Linked DNA regions of Drosophila melanogaster. The protein of the gene in region 1 interacts with the protein of each later gene in a biochemical or structural test. Each region holds a gene or a part of one and is shown on either strand. Other genes may lie near its edges.

Region 1 (4,195 bases):
AAAGTACTCATAAATCTGCACTACACTAACCAATTTTCCGTGCACCCGGTTTCGAAAAGAAAAACTAGTAAAATAAGAAAAGTGGCCGGTTTCAGTTTTATCATTGCGCTGTGCTTCTGGTTGAGGTCGAAATTTAAATAAAAAGAAAAATCGTGGCGCCCATATAAGATATATGTATTAGGGTGAGCCAGTAAGTATAACATAAGTACACAAAATATTGAAAAAACAGAATATATTTAAAGTATTTTTCATGATCGTGATCCTTTTCTATTTTGAGTTCTTTTGTGATTTAATAATATAATTTAATTTAGTTTGCGATTAGTTCACTCTAAAATGTACTTGTACTAATTCAAACGCACACAATAGCCTAATTTACCCTATTGTGTGTTATTAGAGGGGTTGCACTTGTGATTTATGCAAATAGACACTTTATGGGGACTTTGGACTACTCTGATTTTCCTTACTCGTTCATGGAGGGCAGTACTCACCAGTCAGTCCACCAAAGTGGGTTTTAACGTTTCGTTCATCTTGTTTTAAATTATAATAAAAAATGGATTTCTCATGCGCTTGACTATGAAGTTAAAGTTTTTAAATGCCCATGGGGATTTCTTTAAGCACTAGTTTTTGAATACCTCATACCTGCCGTCATATTTGAATAGGAAAAACATCAATGTTTATTTAGTTTTATTTATTGCACAGTTTTTATTTTAAGCTTTACAATATAAATAGGTTTGTTTTATTTACTCACTTTGCTAAAAATGAAGTAAATAACCTTAAAAATACCATGTATTGAGAGGTAAGTTGTGTTAATATATATGAATAAGTACATATGGCAATATATTAACAGAAATTACGCATGTAAGAAAAAATATACAATATTCGTTTTCTTGAAAGGTCTCCACTCCATAAGGCAGATTCAGGATACAGAGTTTTGAGATGCGCAGATATGCAAACGCTTACTGACTGACTATACACATATGTACGTATGGATCTTTTGACAATGGGTGGTTACCCTTTATATAACTACGAGTGCTCATCCGTTCGTCCGACGGTTCTATTGGTACATTTAGGTGCGCTTACTAAAGGACACTGGCATACCTTTGGTTGATATATGCCTTGGTGTGGTAATTATAAGTTCTTATCGAGGCCGCCAGTGTTTGAATTAGTTGTTTGTCCCTCTTTGCCGGTGCATACGAATCAATGTCACTGCCACTGAGGTGGATAACAAATATTAACAACTACTATATTTACACAAACCGGATTAGCTACTCCACCTGATATTCCGTGTGCGCAGGACACGTTCCGCCCACGTCTGTGGTCTTGGTATTTCCCGGGCCACTCCAGTTTGTTTTTTGTCGATATAGTCAATTACATCATCGTAATAGTTGGTTCTGTAGTTGTACATGTATTTGTATTGCAGAAACTTCGGCCTGAAAAGTGCAGATTGCATAAGATACAGTACGGTACAGTGCTGTACAGTACAGTGGAGGACCAACCTGACCCAGTGGCGGTAGAGCTGCACCGGTTTCCTGTAACCATCGTCTTCTGGCGGAGGCGGCGGTGCTTTGATTTCTTCTACCTCTTCCGGAGCAGCCTCCTCGTTGGCCGGAGTGCCAGCCACGACGCTATCAGCCTTGTGATCGGATGCCACACTCGGTGCTTTTGAGGGTGGGGCCGGAGTGCCCGCCTGGGTGGATGCCGCCTTCTCCTCCTCGCCGCCGTCGTCGAAACCCCATGGATCTTCTTCGTCTGCCATATTACTGAAACGGAATCCTTTCAATATTATTATATATCTATCATAGACAGATTCACTTTCAATATTCGATCTCTAGGTAACGTAAGCCATCATCATATTATTATATCACAATAAGATACTTTAACAAATTCACTGTCTTCTTATTTTTTATAAACGTTGGCCTTTTAACGTTGCATAACATTGCAACACAACCTAAATTTCAATTTTGTTCTTAAAACAACCTTTTTCGCAGTTGATCGGAAATGTTTGGAATTCAGGACGCCCAAATAGCTGGCGTTCTTAGACCTTTCGAATTCAGGACGATTTAAATGGTTCAATGCATTATAATCTACATATAATGAGTTACATCATTCATCGATTGAATTGTATAGATTCATCTCTTAAACCACTCATATCACTGTTATCTTTCCAAAGGACTTTTTATCATAGACTTATTAATAGACGTTCAAGGGATTCACATTGATTTTCTAGCAGCTAAAACTAGGACATTGGGTCCACTGAAAAATTAGGGACCGTACCTTTACTATAGTGTTTATACTGATATAAAGGAAAAAAGACTAAATGATCGAACTGCTGCTCGAAACAAATGCACTTAGAAAACTTAATCTAAATATATCGAGAAGCAACATCTATATACAAAGGTTGGCATGCGTACTCACATACTAAATTTAATTGGCCGAAACGCTATTAACACCTATGTACTAAATAGTTTCACATTTCAGCATCAAAAGTTCCGGAACAATGAAAAAGTTAGTAAGCAGATTCAAATTTAAGTAGTCAAATAAATCTTTTAAGCTCAATTTGATCGATTTCAACAATTTGCTCATTTATACGGACTTAATTTTAAATAGTTACAACACTTGTTAACTTTTTCCAGAATAAGCCTAAAGATTATGAATCCTAGTTGATAAATGTTCACATAAGAAATCCGCACCGTAATTGTTAAATTTGTTATTTTAAAATTTTTTTGGTTTCATCATGAATCCAATAAGAATTTTAATTATTTAAAAAGGAACCGTTACTCTATCACGGGAACGACGAAAGTGGAACACTTCATAAATTTATTTATATAGGTTATATCTACGATCTAACTAATACTCTAACCGTATTGGTATTCTTGCTTAAATACATGCTTATAATTTTCTTAAAAGCCCCGAAATTAATTTAAAAACAATTTTGTTTAAACGGCGTGAAAACAATCGCCCTAACTTATCGATACATCAAAAGCGAAAACCAGCAGCACACATCGATAAGGCGCTCGTATATATATCGCCTCGATTTAAGCCACCCCTAAATTTGTTGTATTGATTGTGTTTTGGTCGAATAAGTTTATTGCATTTGCGAAAAGTGATTTTGTTTAGCCTAGCGGGTAGCAGAAATGTGCCTAAAATCAATGTGTCATTTTCGTTCAGGTAATAACCGCACCCACCTCCCGCCGAGGCGGCGAAAATCCCGTGTGAATCGAGCTACATACACACTTTAGCCCATTTTGCGTGCATATACACTGCATGTGCGTACATATGTACATACGCACCTGCGTACATATGTACATATGTAAATATCAAAAATAACAATTTAGGGCGAATTTGTGTGGAGAATAAAAATCAAGCAAGCAAATCGTTTTCCTAGGACATTGTACGTTGGGGCCAAGTGGACCATGTGACAAAGCCATGCCCACTCGCACACACGCAAGCACATATGGACACAAACAACAAACTACTTTATTTAAATCGAGCGGTTCGAGCAGTGCGAGCCGGTTATATTAATGCATTTTAATTCGCATTCGAATTCTCGCTCCAAAAAAAAAAAAAAAAACAGTGCCAATTTATGTAAGCGAGAACCCGAGGTCCACTGGGAGTTAAACGTGTGTAGCAAGTTGTGTAGCAAGCCATCGCCAAAGAAACCCCCGCTCGAAACGCATACACTTGGTTTGGTATACGATGTGGAATATTGGTGTCCAAGTGCCAGCCTTTCCCTGCTGACCACCCTCCCCCACCCCCTGCTGGAGCCCACTGGAGCCCCTTACCCGATTTGGTGTGAATATTATGTGCAAAATAAAAAGGCCGTAACACCGAACGAACGCTGGGGAGGAAGGGCAGGAAAAAAAACTGTAGGCGCGGGCCGTGCTTTCCCCACGTGACACGCAGGCGTATGCGTGTGCCAAAAATTCCATTTATTCGGCGTATATTCATCGCGAAAGGCGATTTCAAACTGCATTGACACTCGCACTCGCGTTTCTGGCCCAAAGTATACCAGCCATCTAGTGAAACAAGCGCTGATTGTGACCCACAATCCCAAAATAGCCTTGTTCCCAACATCTTACTCCAAAATACGTGTTCAAAATGGGGTTTTGGGTTTCTCCAGGAACCGAACTAATTGCCTCCAGATTGACCATGACCTTAGCCATTTTCAAAACTCAACTACCTTCCGTTTGGCACG
Region 2 (5,182 bases), on another chromosome or scaffold:
ATTAGTGCATACGTCACAGGAAATGAGGAATTAGCTGGGGTTATGTTTTTTTTTTCATAGGGCTTAATAAAATGAGTTTCATAAGTCCGAAAAAGGAGCGAATGACTAAGGTTAGCAGTCTACTCAATTGCGTTAAATACTTCAAAGCTTCGGAGACTAGTTGCAGCTCTAATCGAATTTTGAAAAATTTTGGGATGTTTTTCTTTTTTTCATAAGTGTGAGTGATTGGCGGTAGATAAGCGGTTGGGTAAGAACATAGAACGCATACTTGTGTGCCACCCTTGATCGGCAATTACTTACGTAGATCAGCTTGTTGTAGTATCTCTGTCTCAAGTTATGGAGCACAGAGGCATCGTTAAGGTATGTCAAGTTGGACATATCCTCGGCTTTTTCGTATTTCGGGGGGTTCACTTGCTGGAGCAGATCTTTCTTTAAGTCTCGTGTCTGTTTATCATTTTCGTTCGGTTTGTCGGATTCAGTTCGATTGGTTATGTTTAGTTTTTGTACAACATTTGTTGGTTAGACGTTGGGTTAGCAGTTCGTTTTTGAGATTGAGAGAGAGAGAGAAGAGATACCCATACATTAGTGAGTTTCTGGCAGTACAACACTTACGTAGATGAGCTTAGCATAGTAACGCTGACGCAGATTGTGCAAAACGCAAGGAGTGTTAAGCACGGTCATGTCGGCCATATCTTCAATTTTTTCGAATTTTGGTGGATTGACTTTTTCCACCTTCTCGGATTTGATATCTCGTACCTAATCGTATATGTAGGCGAAATCTATAGTTTCATTCTAATTTTGTGGCTACATTATAAGCTATTGAAGTGTATGAGGTCATGACAAAGTCCCAGTCTTATGCTATCCATTGAAAAACCCTTCTTGTAGTAGTAGTAGTAGTACCAAGAAGATTTTCCCATTGGGTAACAATTGACTAACACTTTAGGTCGACCATAAGACTCTTCAATAGCTTTTTTTTTTTTTTTTTTATGCTGAAGCCTCGTGTAGACGATGACTTTACCTCTCCACCCTGCAGACCAACGGAGACGATATCGCCCTTGGTGGCCTTGATCTCACCAAGGAGATAACCCTCCTTCTCGTCGGGGATCCAGCAAGACTTCTTCGAGTCATAGGGTTTCGATTGATCGATACGCCTTTGCTCCAAAGACACGAACAGGTATGGGGTGGGATCCTCATCCTCCTGATTTGCGACTGGCTTCGGCATCTTGCTTAAATTTCGTTTAGAAACTTAAAAACTCGAAAAATAATATTGGGACTTTTCAAAATTTCTTTGTTAATCGCGTCGTGAGCCCAAAACTTCCCTGTAAATATACAAAAGAAAAATAATATTTATTATATGGTTCTCAGAAAAGCATACTATTTTTGGAATTTTGTTTCGAAGTCTGATTCTTTTATGGATTTTATGCTTTTGACCCATTTTGACAGCAGCAGCAATAGCGGACACTATAACAGTTCTACGCGTGTGTGCGTGGATAGGATTTCGAAATTTAATTTCGATTTCCAAATATGAACATTTTTCCCGTTTCGCGCTTTCGAAATTCCCGTTACCGTAACCGGATATTTATTTATGTGTGGCTTTGATTTTATCTCACACCTCAAAGTTAATTAGGCCTGGTCGGTGCTTGTGTTGTTGTTTTTGTTATAAACAGACAACAAGTGAATTGTGTGGGTTGTCGCCTAAATATAGATCACGGATCCGATACGAATATGTATATGTATACCACTTATATATATATATATCAGAATGCTTTGCATATATACGGATTTTCGGGGCGTTGGTATTTGTTACGTAACGCCAATTTTCATTTAGATATTTGTGTACATTTCTCCAGGTTTCTTTGTGAAAAAATCTACAGACTATTGATACGCCAAAACAATGCTTATTATTACAAATGTAGAGAGGTTAAACTGTCACCACAACTCACTCAACTGGTAACTACTACCGTTTGGAACGCGATTTCGATATTTTGAACAGGTATCTCGATATGGTGGCGTGTTCTCATACAAGCAATTCACGAGATCGCAATGATTCCTTTCAGTAAACTTCGAAGGCGGAACGATTTTCGACAATCCACACTAAATCGACAATCGAAAATTCGATTCGAATTGACGCGAACTTTTAACGAATGCGTTATTTTTAAAATTCTCGAAATTATTTCGAAACTAAAGTCACATACATATTCGTCTATATGTAATTCGTAATTTCGAGAAGCTTTTTGGCTCATGCTACCACATGGCACACATAGACATAATGTATAAGTATTGGCGATCTCTTTCTAATGTCTTTGGTTATTTTTAAAACATATTCGAAATTATTTCGCCCATGTATATGAGCCGACAACGAATTCGAGTATTCTAAATCTATTTTCTATAGTATGCATACGCATATGTCTCGGCCACACAGGTATTTGTGTATGAAATCATTTCGCCAGTAATTCGAAATGGCTATTACAGCATTTCGAACTCACATCGAAACACGAATTTTTCATTTGATGAAGTAACAGCTGGCTGTCTCTTTCTGACATTTAAATGATCTATTTGCTTTAGAATTTTTTAAGTAGTCGAAATTTAGAACGATGAAAGTCTTTTATTCCAAAATTCTTGGGCGAGAAAGGATAAACTAGTTTTTTGTGAGAGTCCTAAAAGTAAGAAAGAAGTTTCCTTATATCCTTGTTACTTCACTTTCAGATTTTTTCGCTGATATGATCGAAAGTCAAAGATTTGTTACACAAGAAGTTGAAGATAGTTGCATACTTCTCAGAAAACAAATTAACGCCTATAGGTTATGTTAAGTAACTGATGTACTTCCTAAGAAAAGATTGTTATTTGTAATCCAATTCGATACGATAATCCGAGGTATTCCGGTTCACTGTTCTGATTGTCACAGAGTTTTAATAGATCCGTTTTCGCTCGGATCGTAGTTAAAGCACCACACACACACTTTTTTAAATTTCTCGATTTTGTTGCATATATAAATATATATAGGTAGTAATAATTATTTTAGTTTTATGCTTTTTGACCAAAAGGTCAAATTGTTGCTGCTGCCGCTGATGCTGCTGCTACCGCTACTGCTGCTGGGTGGTAATATCCAAAAATCAGAGATCGCACATCAAAGGTGTTGCACTTACGCGCTCGAAAGCCGTTCTGAACCGTGCAACCGGTAAACTTGCCTTTTATACGGGGCAACTTGATACCCATGGATCCCGTAAGACCCCGAAAGCTTTTCGATTCGACGATCGGTGTGCGTGGCGCTGTTTCTGTTTCGGTTTTTCTTGCTCCCTTTTTCGGTCTAGCACTTGGCTGCTCTGATTCCTATTCCTCTTCTCTAGCAAGTGGGCATTTCTATGGGGGATTGCGGGATGGTGGATATGGTATATGTGTGAGCATATGATGCAATCAGGATCGTTGCGGAATCGAGAGCGGAAAGCTCCTTCTCCGACGATTGCCATTGCGTAGGCTCTCTCGCAATTCTCCCATTAGTCAAATAGTAAAATTCATTTCAATGACAACTTTTCCGCCGTGAGGCAATTCTTCTCCGCCGGAATCCCTCGCTCTTTCCAAGGGGAGCTTTCTTTTTACTTATTTCACATATCATTTCTAGACGCACACATGTGTGTATGGCATGGCATGGTGGGATCTTTATTTGTTTTTCTCGGTGATCATTTTTCGCTTTTTGTTCTGGTTTTGGTTTTTGGTCACCTCAATGCCAATCCGATCTGGCACCAATGTGGGTGGAATACAGGGGGAATGCTTGCGATCAGGCGGCGCTATGTGGTTTTCCTCCTAATCTGCGATCACTTTACGATCAGTGGCTAAACAGCTGTTCGAGAAGACCGATCGTATGCTATCAATGGCTACAAACATTCGTTTGGTCATCGTTCAGTTGTAGAACGAAAAAACCCGATCCTTTGAGTTAATGATTGATGATCTATCTAGCCTAAGGATCGGCCATAGCAAGCACATGTCCGCCAAAAGTAATGATGTGAACTTCAAAATAACATAGATGGGCTAGAACATGCAAGCAATTGCAATGCACGCAAAAAAAACGAAATAAAACACATAGTTGAAGAGATACTTTAGATATAGATAGATAGACAGAGAAATGCCACATCAAATCAATGTAGTCGGCGTCCTTCAGAGCAATGCGATGCGAAAATCTTTAGGTTTCAATGCTAAAATCCAATACAAATACGATTGCAAATACGAGTGCATTATGAAATTCGTGTTGTAGCGATTTGTCGAGAATTTATCAAATCTATAATGCTGACAAAGAGAATTATGATAAATGCCAACAGAATTGAAATAGTCTCCCCTCTTACAACGATGTCAAATTCCGACACAGAAATTATTCATAATTTTAAGCAAAATTACAAAATTTCATGTGCAACATTTTTGGCAAAGAATTATATGATAAATGTATATACACCCACTGCAAGGTATTTTCGACAAATACTTTTCGTAATGAGTTGGTCCGTCTTGAATATTCAATATTTAACAATGATTATTGTGTAGCGGAAAAAGAATACGCAAAAAAACAACTCATGAATTCGGACAAAAACAACTTTCAAACATTTTTTGAGGAATATTTATAGTTTGAAAAAGATTTCAGTTCTCATTCAAGTGTGAGTGTTTTTTTCCTTTATTTTCGGTGCAGGGTTTGCTGCTCTCTAGTCTTTTCTCACATATAAAATTATAATACTTTTTGCTAAGTTTCTGAAACAAAATCTGTGACATTGTCGAGCAGAATTGTGGGCAAAAAGACAAAAACATAAATTGAGCATTTAAAACAAATTCCAAGAACAACAAACAACAATTTAGCACCTGACAATAAATTATTTTGGGGTTATTTGTTGTACTTGTAAAGCCAATGAGTTGGTATAAGTTAATATTTAACATTTAATAATTAATAAAAAAAACCTTTAGTTACGATACATTTTGGTCTTCTTTATTATTCTAGATGGTTCTTCCCTTGCTCCCTTAAGATATTCGATGCGAAAAAAGCGAATCCAATATTCTGCTCCCAATTTTTTGTTCGAAAAGCACAAAAACATTTTCGTTTTGAGTCATTGACGCAAAGCAATTTTTGCATTTTAGTGTCAAGATGCTGTTTCTTCTTCTTGTGTATTTTGGCACTGGTGGGCCACCAACATTTTCCCAAGAGGGG

What was found.
Region 2: the proteins of fln (region 1) and Mhc interact in far-western blotting, tested with the Drosophila melanogaster proteins (one study listed by BioGRID).

The regions. Positions count from the first base shown.
Region 1 is NT_037436.4:19,988,875-19,993,069, forward strand, and holds fln (flightin), read right to left. Parts: upstream 2,347-4,195; 5' UTR 2,275-2,346; intron 2,250-2,274; exon of another isoform or gene 1,978-2,249; intron 1,866-1,977; exon of another isoform or gene 1,761-1,865; 5' UTR 1,757-1,760; coding exon 1,497-1,756; exon of another isoform or gene 1,431-1,496; coding exon 1,275-1,430; exon of another isoform or gene 1,213-1,274; coding exon 1,080-1,212; 3' UTR 677-1,079; downstream 1-676. Other genes in the region: Csas (CMP-sialic acid synthase), read right to left, coding at 31-104. UniProt on the Drosophila melanogaster protein: Possibly involved in the regulation of flight muscles contraction, possibly by modulating actin-myosin interaction.
Region 2 is NT_033779.5:16,764,721-16,769,902, reverse strand, and holds the start of Mhc (myosin heavy chain), read right to left. Parts: upstream 3,170-5,182; 5' UTR 3,147-3,169; intron 2,978-3,146; exon of another isoform or gene 2,793-2,977; intron 2,127-2,792; exon of another isoform or gene 1,944-2,126; intron 1,320-1,943; 5' UTR 1,223-1,319; coding exon 1,019-1,222; intron 757-1,018; coding exon of another isoform or gene 613-756; intron 445-612; coding exon 301-444; intron 1-300. UniProt on the Drosophila melanogaster protein: Muscle contraction.